Linked DNA regions of Saccharomyces cerevisiae S288C. The gene in region 2 interacts genetically with the main gene of each other region. Each region holds a gene or a part of one and is shown on either strand. Other genes may lie near its edges. The genes, in order: BBC1, CAP2, SAC6 and AIP1.

Region 1 (5,706 bases), on a different chromosome or scaffold from region 2:
TCATTAATATGCTCGAATACTGCTGTGGCACGTTAGAATAATCCTGTTGAACCTGCTGCTGCTGCTGCTGCTGCTGTGTCTCTAACCTATTTGTGATCTCTTCCCAAATCTCCTGTTTGTTAGATTGCAACCTTCTGTTCATTTCTTGGATGAAATAATCCTTATCGATATATTGCAACTCATTCGAAAGAATTTCCTTTACATAGCGATTCAAATCATACTCCCAACGACTTTCAGCGCTTCCAGCAGTACCAATGCCTGGAGACTCAATAACGTCTGAAATCAAAGCACTCAAATAATTGTGCAATTCAGGGATTATTAAAAGCGACGAAGAATTATTAATTACAACGGGTATTTCTTGAGGGAGGTGTGTATCCAACTGTTTTACCAGTTGATCTTGCCATTGAGTAACATTCTCGACCGTAAATTTGTGATTTCGCCTCTGTAACTCACTCATGGAAGTTGAAATTGTCTCAACCTGTTTTGTCAGCGAGTTAATGTCATTTTCAAAATTAACCAAATTTGAGGGTAAAAGTCTTTTAATATTCTTTTCAAATTGAGAGACAATGATTTTTACTGTTTTATCCAATTCTGAACTGTGCTTTTCGTCCCGCTTACTCAACTCACTATATAAATGATTCACCTGTTTTTGTAGGTTGCTGAATGATTTGCCTGGAGAGGATGTAGCGCCGGATGAATGGCTTTCTAAATCATTATTTTTCACGGTTGTCATCAAAAAAGATCCAAAAAAATAAAAAACGAAGAAAAGGCCTCCATAGAAAATGTACGTCCGCCACTTCAACTTCTTAGCTTCACCTGAACTTTCCAAGTTCTCTTCAAAGTCAGAATTACTTTCCAAATCGTAGCTGTCGGAATCGCTGTCTTCTATAAAACTCTTGTCTGCCTCATCTGTATAGTCCTCGTCGCTATATCCGTCGGTCTCTTGTCCATTATCCTCAATGTACGGATCATCATCGTCGTCATCATTATGTTGGTCTAACGGAAAATCAAGATTTTTTTTGAACATTTCGTACGCGGAATCATTCTCTTTATCCATATCATAGTTGTCAGTTTCACCGCCATCGGTGTATATCCCTTTTTTGATGGCTCGTAGGCTAATCTCCTGTTCCCTATTCATTTTGTCCTTGAGGACATCTGCATACGCGGACTTTACAGCCTTATTGTAAGGCATTTGTTCATTAGCCGCTCCTGCCTCTTCCCGCCTATGCTCATTTGAGTTATTCATTTCCAGCACTTCCAGGATAAAAGTTACTACCAACTGAAAACAAGAGAAACCGCCGTGAAACTATGGAGCACTACAGTTAAAACACCACTAACTCCACTCTGTTGACTTTTATCTGTAACTCCTCATGACAACCTTGTTGATAATTATCTCAAGATGACGATATTTACATTGTCATTATATTCCATTTTCGCGTCTCATATGTTACCCGTATCAAAGAGTATAACCCTATCAATAAGTGATGTGTATCATTTATAAACCTCATATTTTAAGAATAAACCTATATAATATAGGAATATACCCTGAAAATAGTTAGAGGTCTACAATGCCCCTATTTTACCTCCAGAATTATAATCTCCTTAAGACTTCAACTAGAAGTGGTATTTACTAGCACACTGTGAAACAGTAGCGTCAAGTCGGTAGTAAACATCAATCGCGTCCCAACTGCAAGAGCTACTAGAAGTAAACACAGTCTTACCCAAACTAAGGATGAGTGAACCCGAAGTGCCCTTCAAGGTGGTGGCTCAGTTCCCATACAAGTCCGATTACGAGGACGATTTAAATTTTGAAAAAGATCAAGAGATTATTGTTACGTCTGTTGAAGACGCCGAATGGTACTTTGGTGAATACCAGGATTCAAATGGCGACGTTATTGAGGGTATCTTCCCGAAAAGTTTTGTTGCTGTTCAGGGATCTGAAGTTGGAAAGGAAGCCGAATCATCTCCGAATACCGGTTCCACTGAGCAACGTACAATCCAGCCGGAAGTAGAACAAAAGGACCTACCAGAGCCCATTTCCCCTGAAACGAAGAAAGAAACTCTGTCCGGGCCAGTGCCAGTTCCAGCCGCTACAGTGCCAGTTCCAGCCGCTACAGTGCCAGTTCCAGCCGCTACAGCAGTATCAGCACAGGTCCAGCATGATAGTAGTAGTGGTAATGGCGAAAGAAAAGTTCCCATGGATTCTCCAAAATTGAAGGCTCGCTTATCTATGTTTAATCAAGATATAACGGAGCAAGTTCCTTTACCAAAATCAACTCACTTGGATTTAGAAAACATACCTGTGAAAAAAACAATTGTGGCAGATGCTCCTAAATACTATGTCCCCCCTGGAATTCCAACAAATGATACGTCCAATCTTGAAAGGAAAAAGTCCCTAAAGGAAAACGAAAAAAAGATTGTTCCCGAACCAATTAATCGTGCACAGGTGGAAAGTGGAAGAATAGAAACTGAGAATGACCAATTAAAGAAGGATTTGCCCCAGATGAGCCTTAAAGAAAGAATTGCTCTTTTACAGGAGCAACAAAGATTACAGGCTGCAAGAGAAGAAGAACTCTTGAGAAAAAAGGCTAAGCTCGAACAAGAACATGAACGTAGTGCGGTTAACAAGAATGAGCCCTATACGGAAACTGAAGAAGCAGAAGAAAATGAAAAAACTGAACCGAAACCTGAATTTACGCCTGAAACTGAGCACAACGAGGAACCGCAAATGGAATTATTGGCACATAAAGAGATTACTAAAACCTCACGCGAAGCAGATGAAGGCACGAATGACATAGAGAAAGAACAATTTTTAGATGAGTACACAAAGGAAAATCAGAAAGTTGAGGAGTCACAAGCAGACGAGGCAAGAGGAGAAAATGTTGCTGAGGAAAGCGAAATAGGTTACGGCCATGAAGACAGAGAGGGAGATAATGATGAGGAAAAAGAAGAGGAAGATAGTGAAGAGAATCGTAGGGCCGCATTGAGAGAAAGAATGGCTAAACTATCTGGCGCTAGTAGATTCGGTGCTCCTGTTGGTTTTAACCCCTTCGGTATGGCTTCTGGAGTTGGAAATAAACCATCAGAAGAGCCGAAAAAGAAACAGCATAAGGAGAAGGAGGAGGAGGAACCTGAACAGCTCCAAGAACTACCTCGTGCCATACCTGTTATGCCATTTGTTGACCCAAGTTCTAACCCATTTTTTAGGAAATCAAATCTAAGTGAGAAGAATCAACCCACTGAAACAAAGACGCTAGATCCTCATGCAACCACAGAGCATGAACAGAAGCAAGAACATGGTACACACGCCTATCACAATTTAGCTGCTGTTGATAATGCACATCCCGAATACTCTGACCATGATTCTGATGAAGATACTGACGACCACGAGTTTGAGGATGCAAACGATGGGTTGAGAAAGCATTCGATGGTGGAGCAAGCTTTTCAGATAGGTAATAATGAGTCAGAGAATGTTAATTCCGGAGAAAAAATTTACCCTCAAGAACCACCAATCTCCCACCGTACTGCAGAAGTATCACATGATATTGAAAATTCATCACAAAACACAACTGGAAATGTTTTGCCTGTCTCTTCCCCACAAACAAGAGTTGCTCGCAACGGGTCGATAAATTCTTTGACTAAATCCATTTCAGGGGAAAATCGGCGGAAATCCATAAACGAGTATCATGATACAGTTTCCACTAATTCATCTGCATTAACAGAAACCGCTCAAGATATTTCGATGGCAGCTCCAGCAGCTCCAGTTCTAAGTAAGGTGTCACATCCTGAGGACAAGGTGCCACCTCACCCAGTGCCTTCTGCACCCTCTGCACCTCCAGTACCCTCTGCACCTTCAGTACCCTCTGCACCTCCAGTACCTCCAGCACCTCCAGCACTCTCTGCACCTTCAGTACCCCCAGTACCCCCAGTACCTCCAGTATCTTCAGCACCTCCAGCACTCTCAGCACCTTCAATACCTCCAGTACCTCCAACACCTCCAGCACCTCCAGCACCTCCAGCGCCTCTTGCGCTGCCTAAACACAATGAAGTAGAAGAACATGTCAAGTCATCTGCTCCCCTTCCACCTGTATCCGAGGAATATCATCCTATGCCAAATACTGCTCCGCCACTTCCACGTGCACCACCAGTACCACCGGCTACTTTTGAATTTGACTCTGAACCAACAGCCACTCATTCACATACAGCTCCTTCTCCTCCACCACATCAAAATGTCACGGCCTCTACACCTTCAATGATGAGTACGCAACAACGTGTGCCAACCTCAGTACTATCTGGGGCAGAAAAAGAATCACGAACCCTACCGCCCCATGTGCCTTCATTGACGAATCGTCCTGTGGATTCATTCCATGAGTCAGATACTACACCGAAGGTGGCCTCTATAAGAAGGTCAACGACGCATGATGTAGGCGAGATTTCCAACAACGTCAAGATAGAGTTTAATGCACAAGAAAGATGGTGGATTAATAAAAGCGCACCTCCTGCTATAAGCAATCTGAAGTTGAACTTTTTGATGGAGATCGATGATCATTTCATTTCCAAAAGATTACATCAAAAATGGGTGGTAAGGGATTTTTACTTCTTGTTTGAAAACTATTCGCAACTAAGATTCTCCTTGACCTTTAATAGTACAAGCCCAGAGAAAACGGTAACGACTCTTCAAGAACGCTTTCCATCGCCAGTCGAAACACAATCAGCACGTATTCTTGATGAATACGCTCAAAGGTTTAATGCGAAAGTTGTAGAGAAATCTCATTCATTGATAAATTCACATATTGGGGCTAAGAATTTCGTGTCACAAATTGTATCCGAATTCAAAGACGAAGTTATACAACCCATAGGAGCAAGAACGTTTGGCGCAACTATATTGAGTTATAAACCTGAAGAAGGAATCGAACAGTTGATGAAGAGCTTACAGAAGATTAAACCAGGTGACATTCTTGTAATTAGAAAGGCCAAATTTGAAGCTCATAAAAAGATCGGAAAAAACGAAATTATCAACGTTGGAATGGACTCCGCCGCTCCGTATTCGAGTGTTGTTACTGATTATGATTTTACAAAGAATAAGTTTAGAGTTATCGAAAATCACGAGGGAAAGATTATTCAAAACAGCTACAAGCTAAGCCATATGAAAAGTGGGAAGTTAAAGGTTTTCAGAATTGTTGCGAGAGGATACGTAGGTTGGTAATTTACCCAATGCTTCCAAGGGGAAATTGTGAATGCTTTCGATTTCATCATTTTCCTTTCGCATTTTCTTATCGTTATAGTTTAAGTGTATATTTTCATAACTCTTCTACAGAAGAAACTATACAAAGATTAAACAACCGTTTTTGTATCAGGTCTTATTTGAGCGGCTCAAAACGAAAGGTAGGATTCACTTATCTTACCGCCGTCAATAGTATCCCAAGTTGTACCTTTTCGTATATACCTACAATTCTGGCTTCAGACGCAGTAATTTTTGAGCAATCGTAACAAACGGTTTGCCCCTAGAGTTTGAATTTTTCTTCATCACTCCATGATAGTGCTCTCATATATTATCTTACGGAAATTAATCCAATATAGGTGCCCAAAGGTTGAAATTAATACGAACTTTGACCTGGCCTTAATTATCGATTCTAATACTATCTGAGTTTAAAGAACTTGCGGGGAAGAAATACGGAAAACATAGAAAGGCGATGGCAGATGAAG
Region 2 (3,314 bases):
TTTTGTTCTGCCTGATAATATATTGATTATACTGTGCTCGGATTCCGACCTCTTCTTTGTTGCAGAAGCCATAAGCTGAACTTATTGCATTTGCTCAAGTGCATTTATTATGGCGCCGCGCCGCCGCTCTCCAAAATTCTTGTCCTTCCTCGTTTTGCTGGCAAGGAGCAAAACGAAGAGGAAGGTAGAAAAGAGAAAATTTGAACAAACAGGGAAAAGGGAAAGAGAAAAAGGGACACTTTACGCTTTCCTCGACTAAGTCAAGCGATCGCTATCATCACATCCATTACACGCATTTCACGCATACATAAATAGGAAGATCATTTACAACAAGCAGATTATTTTCAAAAGACAACAGTAAGAATAAACGATGGTATCTTCTTTGCCCAAGGAATCGCAAGCCGAATTGCAACTGTTCCAGAACGAAATCAACGCCGCTAATCCGTCCGACTTTCTTCAGTTCTCCGCCAACTATTTCAATAAAAGGCTGGAACAACAGAGAGCGTTCCTCAAGGCCAGGGAGCCTGAATTTAAGGCAAAGAACATTGTTCTATTTCCGGAACCAGAGGAGTCATTTTCCAGACCTCAATCAGCTCAATCTCAATCAAGATCCAGATCGAGTGTTATGTTCAAATCCCCCTTTGTGAACGAGGACCCACACTCCAACGTGTTTAAAAGTGGGTTTAATTTAGACCCGCACGAACAGGACACTCACCAGCAAGCACAGGAAGAACAACAGCATACTAGAGAAAAGACATCAACTCCTCCACTCCCAATGCACTTCAACGCCCAAAGGCGTACTTCTGTTAGTGGTGAGACCTTACAACCAAACAATTTTGACGATTGGACTCCAGATCACTATAAGGAAAAGTCCGAGCAGCAATTGCAAAGACTGGAAAAATCGATCCGTAATAACTTTCTGTTCAACAAGCTGGATTCCGACTCAAAAAGGCTGGTCATAAATTGTCTGGAGGAGAAGTCCGTCCCCAAAGGTGCTACGATAATCAAGCAAGGTGACCAAGGGGACTACTTCTATGTCGTCGAAAAGGGTACTGTTGACTTCTACGTCAACGACAACAAGGTCAACTCTTCCGGGCCAGGCTCCAGTTTCGGGGAACTTGCTCTTATGTACAACAGCCCTCGTGCTGCCACCGTTGTAGCAACCTCCGACTGTTTGTTGTGGGCTCTAGACAGGCTCACCTTCAGAAAAATACTTTTGGGCAGCTCTTTCAAGAAGAGACTCATGTATGACGATCTTTTGAAGAGCATGCCAGTTTTGAAGAGTTTGACTACGTACGACCGTGCCAAACTTGCCGATGCACTGGATACCAAGATCTACCAGCCGGGTGAAACAATCATTCGCGAGGGTGATCAAGGGGAGAACTTTTATTTAATTGAGTACGGAGCTGTGGACGTCTCTAAGAAGGGCCAAGGTGTCATAAATAAACTGAAAGACCATGATTATTTCGGTGAAGTGGCCTTGCTAAACGATTTGCCCAGACAGGCCACTGTGACTGCTACAAAGAGAACCAAAGTTGCCACATTGGGGAAAAGTGGTTTTCAACGTTTACTGGGTCCTGCAGTAGACGTATTAAAGCTCAATGATCCTACAAGACATTAAGTAAAAAGGGGAAGCGATCTTAAATCCACATGAATTTCCTTTCTCTTTTTCTTCTTCTTCTGTTCCCTTTTTCTTTCTTCTTCCTTCAACGTCTACGTAAATATAATGTATAACATCTCCACTTTCCTTTCCCTTATAGCGTTATGTTACCTGTTTAAACTCTAAATTCTTCATCTACTACTGCTGTTACTACATGTATATATGTTCATTTTTTTTTTTTTTTTTCACCACGGAAAACGTAAAAATGAGAGCATTTGTAACAAATAAAGGAGAACTGTTCAATCAAGTGACATACAAAAACTCTCTCCAACTCTACAATCACCACCGTAATGTCTGATGCTCAATTCGATGCTGCTTTAGATCTTCTTAGGAGGCTAAATCCTACCACGTTACAGGAGAATCTAAACAACTTGATCGAATTACAACCAAATTTGGCACAAGATTTACTATCTTCAGTAGACGTTCCCCTATCCACACAGAAAGATTCCGCCGATTCAAACCGGGAGTACTTATGCTGCGACTATAATCGTGATATTGATTCGTTCAGATCGCCTTGGTCGAACACTTATTACCCAGAACTATCCCCAAAGGATCTACAAGACAGCCCCTTTCCCTCAGCCCCTTTAAGAAAATTGGAGATCTTAGCCAATGACTCTTTCGACGTTTACAGAGATCTCTATTATGAAGGCGGTATCTCCAGCGTGTACCTCTGGGACCTCAATGAAGAAGATTTCAATGGGCACGATTTTGCAGGGGTAGTGCTTTTCAAAAAAAACCAATCAGATCACAGTAATTGGGACAGTATCCATGTTTTTGAAGTTACAACATCTCCTTCTTCTCCCGACAGTTTCAACTATAGAGTCACCACTACAATCATTCTGCACTTGGACAAAACAAAAACTGACCAGAATTCTCATATGATGTTATCCGGGAACCTGACAAGACAGACCGAAAAGGACATCGCTATTGATATGTCCCGTCCATTAGATGTTATTTTCACATCACATGTCGCTAATTTGGGTTCCTTAATTGAGGACATTGAGTCTCAGATGAGAAATCTATTGGAAACTGTTTATTTCGAAAAGACAAGAGATATCTTCCACCAAACAAAGAACGCAGCCATTGCTTCCTCTGCTGAGGAAGCGAATAAAGACGCACAGGCAGAGGTAATCAGAGGTTTACAGTCTTTATAGAAATATTTACATGTATCGCTGGTATATCATATAAATACATACAGCAGCACTAAGTGGTAGAAAAGCGCTATCAAAAATCACTCGGAACGAACACTGAAGAAAAAGCGAAAAATCAAAAATATGACCAACGCTTGGAAAATTTCAGTAGCAATTAGACGAACCTCGCAGTCCTGTAGTAAAACGGATTAAGGGACTTCATATACTGTTGATACTCGGTGTATTGCAATTACCTACTAGGAGTTTTCTGAATAGGGACTTAAGAAGTCAAATATACAGACAAAAATAGGGGGTTGTAGAAGGAATATTTGATTCGAACTATGAAATGCAGGGTATGGTCAGAGGCTCGTGTTTATACGAATATCAATAAACAAAGAACCGAGGAATATTGGGATTATGAAAATACTGTAATTGATTGGTCCACAAATACAAAGGACTATGAAATTGAAAATAAAGTTGGGCGAGGAAAATACTCCGAGGTTTTCCAAGGTGTCAAATTAGAC
Region 3 (6,036 bases), on a different chromosome or scaffold from region 2:
TCGGTTGCTCTTGAAGTGCGATCTATCTCGATTAGAAAAACTTTCCATTCATATAAACGCATTGAAGTACTTCAAAAATACCGGGTCTCCTATGAAGATCAAAGCATTGGTATTAAATTTGCGACCCGACACACTTAACCTTGCGGAGTACGACGCTTCCGATGACTTCTTAAAAGAGCTAGAATACATCGACATATTTGATGCTTCCACCTTAAGGCAGCTAGAGATTTTGTCTTGGTACAGTCGCGACGATTTTCCCTCTGGCGAAGAAGGTGGTTTTGACAGGTTATATGTCAAATGGGGGCTAGAAGGATTTTGGAAATTTCCGAACATTGAGAAACTATCATTAGCGTCATTGGTTTACAGCGAATTTTTTCTAATGAATTGTTTGGCTGTGTTTCACAATTTAAAGATACTGAAACTTGATTACATGGGTAAATTTGACTTCGATGTGTCGTTGATTAACTTCTTATCTAAACAAGTGTGTGGCAAAAAATTACAGCGTTTTGACATACACTGCCAACTAAATCACAGGCTTTTTTTTCCCATGACAGATAACCCACTAACTCGCTTGAATTTCGATGGTTTCTGCCCTTGTTCAACTTGCAAAAATACAATTCACGAGGTCATTCTAAAAAAAATCTTTCCTGAAACCCGGTCAAAACTTTTAAAGAACCCAAATAAGTTCCAAGCCCATAATTTCTTTTACCAAATGTTTTTCGAGAACAAGATCATGCCCTATACAAACATTATTGACAACGAATCACCTGCGATGGGATGGGATTCTGTACCTATTGAAACGTTTGTACGAAAGTTCAATGAAAATCTGCAAAGCACCATAGAAAATACTGAGAATATTACAGTGAATAAAATTACTAGAGAAGATGCCATTAGTTTGTACCACTTATACCTTCATTATCTAAAAGACGTATTTAAAGTTTTTGAGCAAAGTTTGCCGAACTTAGAATATCTAACCATCAACGGTATACCTACAAAAATAATACAAGTGGACGAGTTACAACGATGCGCGGTTCCCCTCTTCTATAATAATGGCTATAAAAGCAACTCTGTTTATGAATTGGTGGACGCAGAAGCTCTATTTAGTTGATACTGTGAGACATGGCGGTTATAACACGTACATAATGATATATACTCTAAATACTGCAAATTGTCAACAAGAGGAAATCAAAACAAATGGATTGTATAGTCTAGTTAGAGCTTTCTCAGTGTTCTCACTGGATTGCAGTGATGTGACATAGTTCAATAAAACAAATTATGAGCAATAAAAGCAACCGCAGGAGTTTACGTGACATAGGGAATACGATTGGTCGAAATAATATACCAAGTGACAAGGACAATGTCTTTGTGAGATTGAGTATGTCCCCTTTGAGGACGACAAGCCAAAAAGAGTTTTTGAAACCACCTATGAGGATATCACCTAACAAGACAGATGGAATGAAGCATAGTATACAAGTAACACCAAGAAGGATTATGTCGCCGGAATGTCTGAAGGGCTATGTCTCTAAGGAAACTCAAAGCCTGGATAGGCCTCAGTTCAAAAATTCGAATAAAAATGTGAAGATCCAAAACTCAGATCATATAACTAATATAATATTCCCTACATCACCAACCAAACTGACATTCAGTAATGAAAATAAAATCGGGGGTGATGGTTCGTTAACGAGAATACGGGCCCGGTTTAAGAATGGACTCATGTCACCTGAAAGGATACAGCAGCAACAGCAGCAACATATTCTCCCATCGGATGCCAAAAGCAACACTGACCTCTGTTCTAATACTGAGCTCAAGGACGCCCCATTTGAGAATGACCTTCCTCGAGCTAAATTGAAAGGGAAGAATTTATTAGTTGAACTCAAGAAAGAAGAGGAAGACGTGGGAAATGGCATAGAATCCCTTACTAAATCGAACACTAAACTGAATTCCATGCTGGCGAACGAAGGTAAGATACACAAAGCTAGTTTCCAGAAAAGTGTAAAATTTAAACTACCTGATAATATAGTGACTGAAGAAACCGTGGAACTTAAAGAAATAAAGGACTTGCTACTACAAATGTTGAGAAGACAGCGAGAGATTGAATCAAGATTATCCAATATCGAACTTCAACTCACGGAAATACCGAAACATAAGTAATCATATCCCTTCTCACATTTTTTACACAGGAAGTAAGCAAGTTATGTTATATTTCCGACACTATAATTAATTCTTAGCAGTTAAAGGTGCTTTGTCTATATTACATTTACATACAGCTTGAGTGATCCTGACCGGATATAGGGTCCTATTTTCTTACGTGAACGGCTTTTCTTCTTGTTCCCGATGGCCTTCATGTGAAAAAGCACTCCTCGGGAGGCGGAAAAATATCAAAAGTACGGGGCGAAGTTTATAATGAAGATTTATCGATATAAATTTTGGTTATTTCAGGAGAACAAGAAAGCTCTTTACACTAAAATTATCAGAGAAGAAGCTGATATATTAGCCCTAAGGAGTACACCAAAACACAATGAATATTGTCAAATTACAAGTATGTATGCCTTTCTCGAATTCCCACACTGCTGAGCACAGTGAAAAAGTTTTTTCTACCTTTTAGGTTGTAATAAACGTTTCATATACTAACAAACTCTTCTGCGATTAGAGAAAATTTCCAATTTTGACTCAAGAGGATCTTTTTTCCACAATTGAAAAGTTCAGAGCCATTGACTTAGATGATAAAGGATGGGTTGAAAAACAGCAAGCTCTAGAAGCGGTGTCCAAAGATGGTGATGCTACTTATGACGAAGCAAGAGAAACCCTGAAGCATGTGGGTGTGGATGCGTCAGGCCGTGTTGAACTGGACGATTACGTCGGGTTGGTTGCAAAATTAAGAGAATCTAAAACAGGAGCTGCTCCACAGACCACTTTCAACGTAGCACCTAACTCAACCCCTATTGTTTCCACTGCTGCCACAGGACTACAGCACAAGGGTAAGGGTACTCAAGCCAAGATTATTGTTGCTGGCTCCCAAACAGGTACTACACATACCATCAATGAAGAAGAAAGACGTGAATTTACTAAACATATCAATAGCGTCTTGGCGGGAGACCAAGATATAGGTGATTTGCTTCCATTTCCTACTGATACTTTCCAATTATTTGATGAATGTAGGGATGGGTTGGTGCTATCTAAGTTGATCAACGACTCTGTTCCTGATACTATCGATACAAGAGTTTTGAATTGGCCTAAGAAGGGTAAGGAATTGAATAATTTTCAGGCTAGTGAAAATGCTAATATTGTTATTAATTCTGCAAAAGCCATTGGTTGTGTCGTTGTTAATGTTCATTCCGAGGACATTATTGAAGGTAGAGAGCATTTGATCCTGGGTTTGATTTGGCAAATTATTAGGAGAGGTTTGTTAAGTAAAATTGATATTAAGCTGCATCCTGAGTTATACCGTCTATTGGAGGATGATGAAACGTTGGAGCAATTTTTGAGGTTGCCTCCGGAGCAAATTCTACTACGTTGGTTTAACTACCATTTGAAGCAAGCAAACTGGAACAGAAGGGTTACCAATTTTTCAAAAGACGTGTCTGATGGTGAAAACTATACTATCTTGTTGAACCAGTTGGACCCCGCCTTGTGTTCTAAGGCACCATTACAAACCACAGATTTAATGGAGAGAGCTGAGCAAGTTTTACAAAATGCTGAAAAGCTAGATTGTAGAAAGTATTTAACCCCAAGTTCATTAGTTGCGGGGAACCCTAAATTAAACCTGGCTTTCGTGGCACATCTATTCAATACACATCCTGGATTAGAGCCTATTCAGGAAGAGGAAAAGCCTGAAATTGAAGAATTTGACGCCGAAGGTGAGAGAGAGGCAAGAGTCTTTACCTTATGGTTGAACTCTCTTGACGTTGATCCACCTGTCATTTCGCTGTTTGATGATTTGAAGGATGGTTTGATATTATTGCAAGCTTACGAAAAGGTGATGCCCGGTGCTGTTGATTTTAAACATGTCAACAAAAGACCGGCCTCGGGTGCAGAGATATCCAGATTCAAAGCCTTAGAAAACACCAACTATGCAGTCGACTTGGGCAGAGCCAAAGGATTTTCTTTGGTTGGTATCGAAGGATCTGATATTGTAGATGGTAACAAATTACTGACCTTAGGGTTAGTGTGGCAATTGATGCGTAGAAATATTTCGATAACCATGAAGACATTATCCTCAAGTGGTAGAGACATGAGTGATTCTCAAATATTAAAGTGGGCCCAAGACCAGGTAACTAAAGGTGGTAAAAACTCTACCATTAGATCATTTAAGGACCAAGCTTTATCAAACGCCCACTTCTTATTGGATGTTCTGAATGGTATCGCGCCGGGCTATGTTGATTATGATCTAGTCACCCCTGGTAACACCGAGGAAGAAAGGTACGCAAACGCAAGATTGGCTATTTCTATTGCTAGAAAGTTGGGTGCTTTGATTTGGTTGGTGCCAGAAGATATCAACGAAGTTCGTGCAAGATTAATTATTACTTTTATCGCTTCGTTAATGACTTTGAACAAATGAGCCAACAAACAACTTTCGTAACCTGTTTTCTACTCAGCTTTCTTGTTCCAATGCTCCGTTATACGATTGGTTAAGTGTACAACAATATATAGCCTCAAGTATTTCTGAAGTTTTTAATATGTAATAATAGATTTCAACTTCCACCTACTTTTATTCGTGATTACTGAGCCATTGTAAAAATGCCTCCAACGCTCAATGATTCCGTTGTCGTCTTCTATCATGCCTCTACTGGATTAAAAAATCGTAAATAAACTACTTATTAAGCCATATATCCTGTGAACTTTTTTTCATATACATCCAAGGTTCTTTGAAATATGCAGAAAATGTACGTGATAGTTAAGCTTTTAGGCATCGAACATTTCCGGACAATTGCACCCACATCCAGATGGGCACTCATCACCAATCTCCCACCATATCCTCGCGCACGAAGAGTGTAAAACATGTTGACAATTTCCACATATGAAGCTACTTCTTGTCACTCTTAAATCACAGTAATTACAATTTCGGGCTAGGAATTTTTCTTCTCCAAACTCGTTGTTCTCGATCCAGTGCGTAAGTACACCATTGTAAGGACTTTTCTTGTTATTGTTAGGGGGGATGCCTTGGGAACTATAAGAACTTCTGAAATCAGTACTAACTTTTAGAATTTTGACCCTTTCTAAAGGCAGTCCCCATCTAAAAAGTAACTTTGAATATTGATAAATATAAGTTTGGAACTTTGGTATGTCTGATACCTCTAAATGTAAGAGGTCTTCTTGTTCATAAGCTTCTATAATATCGTCATGTAAAAGCTCGACTTTGATGTCAGGCATTCTACTATGAAAAGGGCTGGATGAAATGGCACGGCTGCCCTGCTTTTGGGCCGGCTCCGTAAATTTACTACTACCATTAAGAGTGTTGTGCGTCCTTAACCTAGCGTGGTGGTCGTCGGACCTTATTGAGGAGTTGTCTCCTCCATGAATGTTTTTTCCTCTCAAATGATTACCATAAAAATTTGGTGTAACAGTGCTACTCCTAGACCTGGTGGAAAAAGCATCAGATCCTTTCCAAAATGATGTGTTTTGACTTTCGTTGTCATTAAACACAATGGTTCCTTCCATATTCTCTAATTCTTGCCCATAATATCTGGCTGGAATCTTTTTTCTCCTGGCGCTTAATATGACACAGCATAACATGGCCAGCATCTGTAAATTTTGTTGCCTCTCAAAGTAGACAATCGCTTCCTTTATGAACCACTTTATCCCCATGGGATGGTTATTCCATATAGTAGTATAAGGATCGTAATCACTTTGGTCTATCAACATATCAGATAATATTTGCCAACAATGACTAATTTCATCAAGGTCAAACTTTTCTGCCACCAAAGCGTTATTTCTAGCAAATCCTTCCGGTGTGGCATCCATAAATAAGTATTCTAATGCTAGTTCTTTGCGGTCGCTTAATAAACTGCTGAAATTTTTGGAAATCACTAAATTCTT
Region 4 (5,872 bases), on a different chromosome or scaffold from region 2:
GTTCAAATACGTGGCAAAAACAGGATACATGTATCTCAATAATTTCTTAGATCTCTTAGACCTTTTATAACTTGGTTTTCCTGGAAGCTCCACATCATTAGATTTGTATAATATATCTATTGGGTAGGGATGTGCTCCGCAAAAATTACCATCTAAATGGAAGTAAACTTCTTTTCTAATGTCAATTGGTAACTCTAAGAATCTAACAGGATTGAAAGAAGGCATCAAGCGACATGGACTTCTGGGGACTCACAGTCAGCTTTCTGTTGATAGCATCTCATCTCACAATGTTTTGTTTTCAAGCCCTCGAAGGTAGTTAAACGCGAAAACGTATCAAAATGCAAAGCACTCTAAAATGAAATTTATACAGGTTCCTTTTTTCAATAAAAAGAGAAGATATTATTTTTTTCGATTACAATGAGAAAGAGATATATATGTATGCCTGAATATCTATAAAATAGATACAAATTAAAATCTATATGCTAATATTTCCTTAACTCGTTAAAAGTTGAAGCATACCTTCAATTCTTTGAGCTTCTTTAGACTTATGAATTTCATGTCTAACTTTAGTTTTCAAATCTATCATCAATTCTTGAAGAACTGGAGAGCTTTCTAACGTATTCCCATATAATTCTAAAACCACGGCGACCCAATCCGCTACAATAGATGCTGATCTCACATCTTCAATACCTTTTAAGCACCAATTCAGTAGCGGCTCTAATGTAGATTCATCTCTACCATATAGCGCTACACGAACTTTGCCACGTTTGCGTAGTTCTTGAAGAACAGTAAGTGTCAACTCTTTGGCCATACCTGGTACAAAGGCATTGTCGAGTGCTTCGCTCCATTTAAACTGATTTATGTTCCTTTCGAATGCACGCATACGACGTTGAGATCTTACCTTATCATTGTGGATTATATGCTCTTGATCACCTTGGTATTCCGAGCCTCGCATCATTCTCTGGAAGTTATTACTTTTCGCATTCTTATTAAAACTGGCGGGTGCGTTTTCTTTATCGGAAGAACGTTTCTCTTTCTTTTTAGTTCTAATGGCTAGTAGTCCTGATGATAAACCTGCTACTAAATGCCTATTCCCTTGTGCGGTACTAGGGGAGACAGCACAACTTAGTACGGGACCCGAAAATTTCCAGCCAAATTTGACTTGGAAATTGTCTAAAGGATCAAAGACTTTGACATGACCATCTAAGGAAGAAGCGATCAACGCCGATTGCATTGGAGAATCAAAATTTTCAACATAGTCCAAGCATGTCACAGCCTTATTGAAATTGCCACGTTCGTATAATTTCTTGTTACTGGTCAAGTCCCACACTTTGAAATTATTGCCACCGCAAGAAACAATTTGGGTTGGAGATACTGCAATAACATTTTCAACAGGTTGGTCATGATTCAGAGAATAAATTGGCGTGGATCCGCTAGATCTTGTGTCATATAATCTGATCAAACCGTCGTATGAGCCTGTTGCAACCAAATGTGGGGCTGCTGGGATAAATGATAAGGTACGAACATAGTCAGTAGCTCCGGTGAGCTCTAATTGTGGCTCATATGCGTTGGATATATCCCAAAGTCTTGTCACTCTATCGTCACTCGCCGTAGCCAGAATTTTGTTATCTTGCGTATGGAATTTCGTAACATGTGTGGGATGTGTGGAAGCGTTTATAGATAAAAGGATAGTCCTGGGATTATAACTGTCGTATACAGACACTAAACCGGTAGCATCACCGGCACAAAGCAATTTACCATCACTCCTAAAGGATGCAGAATAGACAACATCTTTAAATCTTGAAAAGGTCTTGATCACTTGCCTAGTTCTTGAAGAAAATATTTGAACTCTGGTTGAGGAAGTTACTGCAAAATCATGAGGATGTTGAGGATTGAATGATATGTGAGTAACGCTATTATGTTCTTTAACCAGTTGTGCGGAAGTGTATTGACGCCAGTAACGCTGCTCCGGGGTAGTCTGTTGAGGCAATAATGGAGCCTTCGAAGTGATTATTCTAGGCCTAGCAGTCGACATTTTATTTCTATATTATGATCCTTAGGCCTGTTCTTAGCAAAAACTGTTTCAAGGGACTTCTATTAGTGATGGGCATCGTTTTTTCTTCAAAGCTCGAAAGTTTTCAAAATTTTTCAGTTATTCCAAAAATTTTCAAAAGATAATTATCACTAATTACGAGGTATGTAGGTCACAGAACGTTAAATATTATGCTTACTTGGGGTGAATGACTAGAAACTGGAGGTGTATCAATACTAGCTATTGCTTTCCGTTCATAATCAGAACTGAACGCTACCAAGACGTTCTGAAACGTTTTTATTGGTCTCTAGTGTCCCGTTCGTTTGTTTTCGAAACAATGAATTGTATATGATGTACGGATGTTTTCACCCTGTAACCTGCCACCTTTTCTACCGAAGGCATATATGTCAGATCTTTGATTAATGATCATTATTTAATTATAAGGGGAAGCAACTCAGCACTATTCTGCCTTTTGCAACTCGCAAATACAGTTTTTAAGGTATATTAACGGGCAAAAGTAGCAAAGTAAACAAAAATAATGTCATCTATCTCTTTGAAGGAAATTATACCACCTCAGCCTTCGACACAGCGTAACTTTACTACGCATTTATCGTATGACCCTACAACCAACGCAATTGCTTACCCATGTGGAAAATCTGCATTTGTACGTTGTTTGGACGATGGAGACAGTAAAGTACCTCCAGTAGTACAATTTACTGGTCATGGCTCTTCGGTAGTCACAACGGTAAAGTTCTCTCCAATTAAGGGTTCCCAGTACCTATGCTCCGGTGACGAATCTGGAAAAGTGATTGTTTGGGGATGGACATTTGACAAAGAAAGCAATTCTGTTGAAGTGAATGTTAAGTCTGAATTCCAAGTTTTAGCAGGTCCAATCAGCGATATCTCCTGGGATTTTGAAGGGCGAAGACTCTGCGTTGTGGGAGAAGGTCGTGATAACTTTGGTGTTTTCATATCCTGGGATTCTGGTAATTCCTTAGGTGAAGTTTCAGGTCACTCACAACGCATCAATGCTTGTCATTTGAAGCAATCTAGACCTATGAGATCTATGACAGTTGGAGATGATGGATCTGTTGTCTTTTATCAAGGACCTCCATTTAAGTTCTCTGCCAGTGACAGAACACACCACAAACAAGGCTCATTTGTCAGGGATGTTGAATTTTCACCTGACAGCGGTGAATTTGTTATTACGGTAGGGTCTGACAGAAAGATTTCTTGCTTTGATGGCAAATCAGGTGAGTTTCTTAAATACATAGAGGATGATCAAGAACCAGTTCAAGGTGGTATATTTGCACTATCGTGGCTTGATTCCCAAAAGTTTGCTACCGTAGGAGCAGACGCTACCATTAGGGTTTGGGACGTCACGACTTCAAAATGCGTTCAAAAATGGACCTTAGACAAGCAACAACTGGGAAATCAACAAGTTGGTGTTGTTGCAACAGGAAACGGAAGGATTATTTCTCTTTCACTGGATGGGACCTTAAACTTCTATGAACTTGGACATGACGAGGTTTTAAAAACCATTAGTGGTCATAACAAGGGTATTACTGCTTTGACAGTCAACCCACTAATCAGTGGGTCATATGATGGTAGGATTATGGAATGGTCTAGCTCTTCCATGCACCAAGATCACTCCAACTTGATTGTATCATTGGATAATAGTAAAGCGCAAGAATACTCCAGTATTTCTTGGGATGATACTTTGAAAGTGAACGGTATTACTAAGCATGAATTTGGATCGCAACCAAAGGTTGCTAGTGCGAACAATGATGGCTTCACTGCAGTACTAACAAATGATGATGATTTGTTGATATTACAGTCTTTTACGGGCGATATAATCAAGAGTGTAAGACTGAACTCACCAGGCTCTGCCGTTAGCTTGAGCCAAAATTACGTTGCAGTTGGTTTGGAAGAAGGTAATACTATTCAGGTATTCAAATTATCAGATTTGGAAGTCAGTTTTGATTTAAAAACACCTCTTCGCGCAAAACCCTCGTACATATCAATTTCGCCATCTGAAACATACATCGCTGCTGGAGATGTTATGGGCAAGATATTGCTATATGATTTACAATCAAGAGAAGTGAAAACTTCAAGATGGGCTTTCCACACCAGTAAAATCAACGCCATTTCATGGAAACCTGCTGAAAAGGGAGCAAACGAAGAGGAAATTGAAGAGGACTTAGTTGCCACTGGTTCTTTAGACACCAATATTTTTATTTACTCCGTCAAAAGACCTATGAAAATCATTAAGGCGTTGAATGCTCACAAGGACGGTGTTAACAACCTTTTATGGGAAACACCATCTACCTTGGTTAGTTCTGGTGCGGACGCTTGCATTAAAAGGTGGAATGTTGTCCTCGAGTGAGATAAGAATATAAAGTAAACAATTACGTAACCTTAGAAAAATAGATATAAAAAAGTTTTACACTGTTTTTACCACAGTCCATATAAACTTGTAATTATTACCCGAATGCTTTGATTACTTCGCTCTTTTAAAAAAAAACCCGTTCGAACTATTAAACATGTTACTGTGAGCAGACAAAAATATTGCAAGAAAACAGCTTTATAAAGTTTAAGCATTACTGAATACAGTACATTTACTTTTGAAGAAGGAAATACCATCTAGCAGAAATGTCAGATTCAGAGGGAGGTCTAGCTTCCGAAGTTGAACATGAGAAGCGGTCAAGATCTACTAGCAACAGACCCAATTATGCAATTGATACTGAGGATTTAGATATTGATGAAAATGATGAGAATGAAGATGATGATTACAGAGAAGAAGAAGCCAATGAGGGAGTGAATGAAGAAGAAATAAGTGATGAGGAGGAACAGATAAATAAAAGCGGAAGAAACAAAAGGAGGCACGTGGACGAAGAAGAGGATTTGTCAGAGGATAAAGGCGTTACTAGATCTAGAAACCGTTCAAAGTTCAAAAAACCAGTATTTCCCGGAATCGATGATGCTGAGGAGAACTTAAATCCTTTGAAAGTGGTCAATGAAGAATATGTTCTACCAGATGATCCTGAAGGTGAGACGAAGATAACTGCAGATGGTGATCTATTAGGAGGCAGAGAATTTTTAGTGCGCACCTTCACATTAACTGAGAAGGGGAATCGAAAGTTTATGCTGGCCACCGAACCGGCTAGGATAGTGGGTTTTAGAGATTCATATTTATTTTTTCAAACTCACCCCAACCTTTATAAGTTCATTCTGAATCAAACTCAAAAGAACGACTTGATAGACCGTGGCGTTTTACCTTATTCATATAGAAATAGACAAATCGCTCTAGTCACCGCTAGAGGCGTGTTTAAAGAATTTGGTGCTAAAATCATTCGTGGCGGCAAACATATAACCGATGATTATTATGCTTCTGAATTAAGAACAAAGGGAAATGTAATTGAAGGAAAACTTGCTGGTGATCCTATTGATAAATCCGCAAGGGCCTTAGAAACCATGATGTATCCTGCTTCCGAGAATGGCATAAACCCTGCAAAAAACCAGGTGGAATTCTTTGAACACAGGCCACATGGTCACATGAGTAATTCTAATATTATTGCATCAGGTAGTAAGCTGAGCTCTACAAATTGGCTCTATCAGCATTCTGCTGCGTGTAGTAGATTTAATAGCGATTTGTTTTATGATAGAGTGAAGGTTCTTCTTGTAGATCAACAAGGCTTGAGAGATGCATACACAAATATATTACACATACCAGAATCCACACAGTCAACCACTGTTTTAGGATGGAGGAGATCAAAAAACGATAGTCCCAGCGACACAAGCATTGTGTATGAGACCGTTATACACGATAACGATTTGAAT

The links.
Region 1: mutations in CAP2 (region 2) and BBC1 together harm fitness more than expected from each alone (negative genetic interaction), as found in Saccharomyces cerevisiae (4 studies listed by BioGRID, with this or other methods).
Region 3: mutations in CAP2 (region 2) and SAC6 are lethal when combined (synthetic lethality), as found in Saccharomyces cerevisiae (4 studies listed by BioGRID, with this or other methods).
Region 4: mutations in CAP2 (region 2) and AIP1 together harm fitness more than expected from each alone (negative genetic interaction), as found in Saccharomyces cerevisiae (6 studies listed by BioGRID, with this or other methods).

What each region holds. Positions count from the first base shown.
Region 1 is NC_001142.9:398,437-404,142, reverse strand, and holds BBC1 (Bbc1p), read left to right. Parts: upstream 1-1,732; coding exon 1,733-5,206; downstream 5,207-5,706. Other genes in the region: MPS3 (Mps3p), read right to left, coding at 1-1,246. UniProt on the Saccharomyces cerevisiae protein: Involved in the regulation of actin cytoskeleton.
Region 2 is NC_001141.2:288,726-292,039, reverse strand, and holds CAP2 (F-actin-capping protein subunit beta), read left to right. Parts: upstream 1-1,950; coding exon 1,951-2,814; downstream 2,815-3,314. Other genes in the region: cAMP-dependent protein kinase regulatory subunit BCY1, read left to right, coding at 371-1,621; casein kinase 2 catalytic subunit CKA1, read left to right, coding at 3,132-3,314. UniProt on the Saccharomyces cerevisiae protein: F-actin-capping proteins bind in a Ca(2+)-independent manner to the fast growing ends of actin filaments (barbed end) thereby blocking the exchange of subunits at these ends.
Region 3 is NC_001136.10:711,862-717,897, reverse strand, and holds SAC6 (fimbrin), read left to right. Parts: upstream 1-2,518; coding exon 2,519-2,539; intron 2,540-2,650; coding exon 2,651-4,558; downstream 4,559-6,036. Other genes in the region: YDR131C (uncharacterized protein), read left to right, coding at 1-1,108; FIN1 (Fin1p), read left to right, coding at 1,276-2,151; MTC5 (Mtc5p), read right to left, coding at 4,903-6,036. UniProt on the Saccharomyces cerevisiae protein: Binds to actin, and functionally associates with actin structures involved in the development and maintenance of cell polarity.
Region 4 is NC_001145.3:450,178-456,049, reverse strand, and holds AIP1 (Aip1p), read left to right. Parts: upstream 1-2,570; coding exon 2,571-4,418; downstream 4,419-5,872. Other genes in the region: CTF13 (Ctf13p), read right to left, coding at 1-225; snoRNA-binding rRNA-processing protein UTP15, read right to left, coding at 494-2,035; NPL6 (Npl6p), read left to right, coding at 4,685-5,872.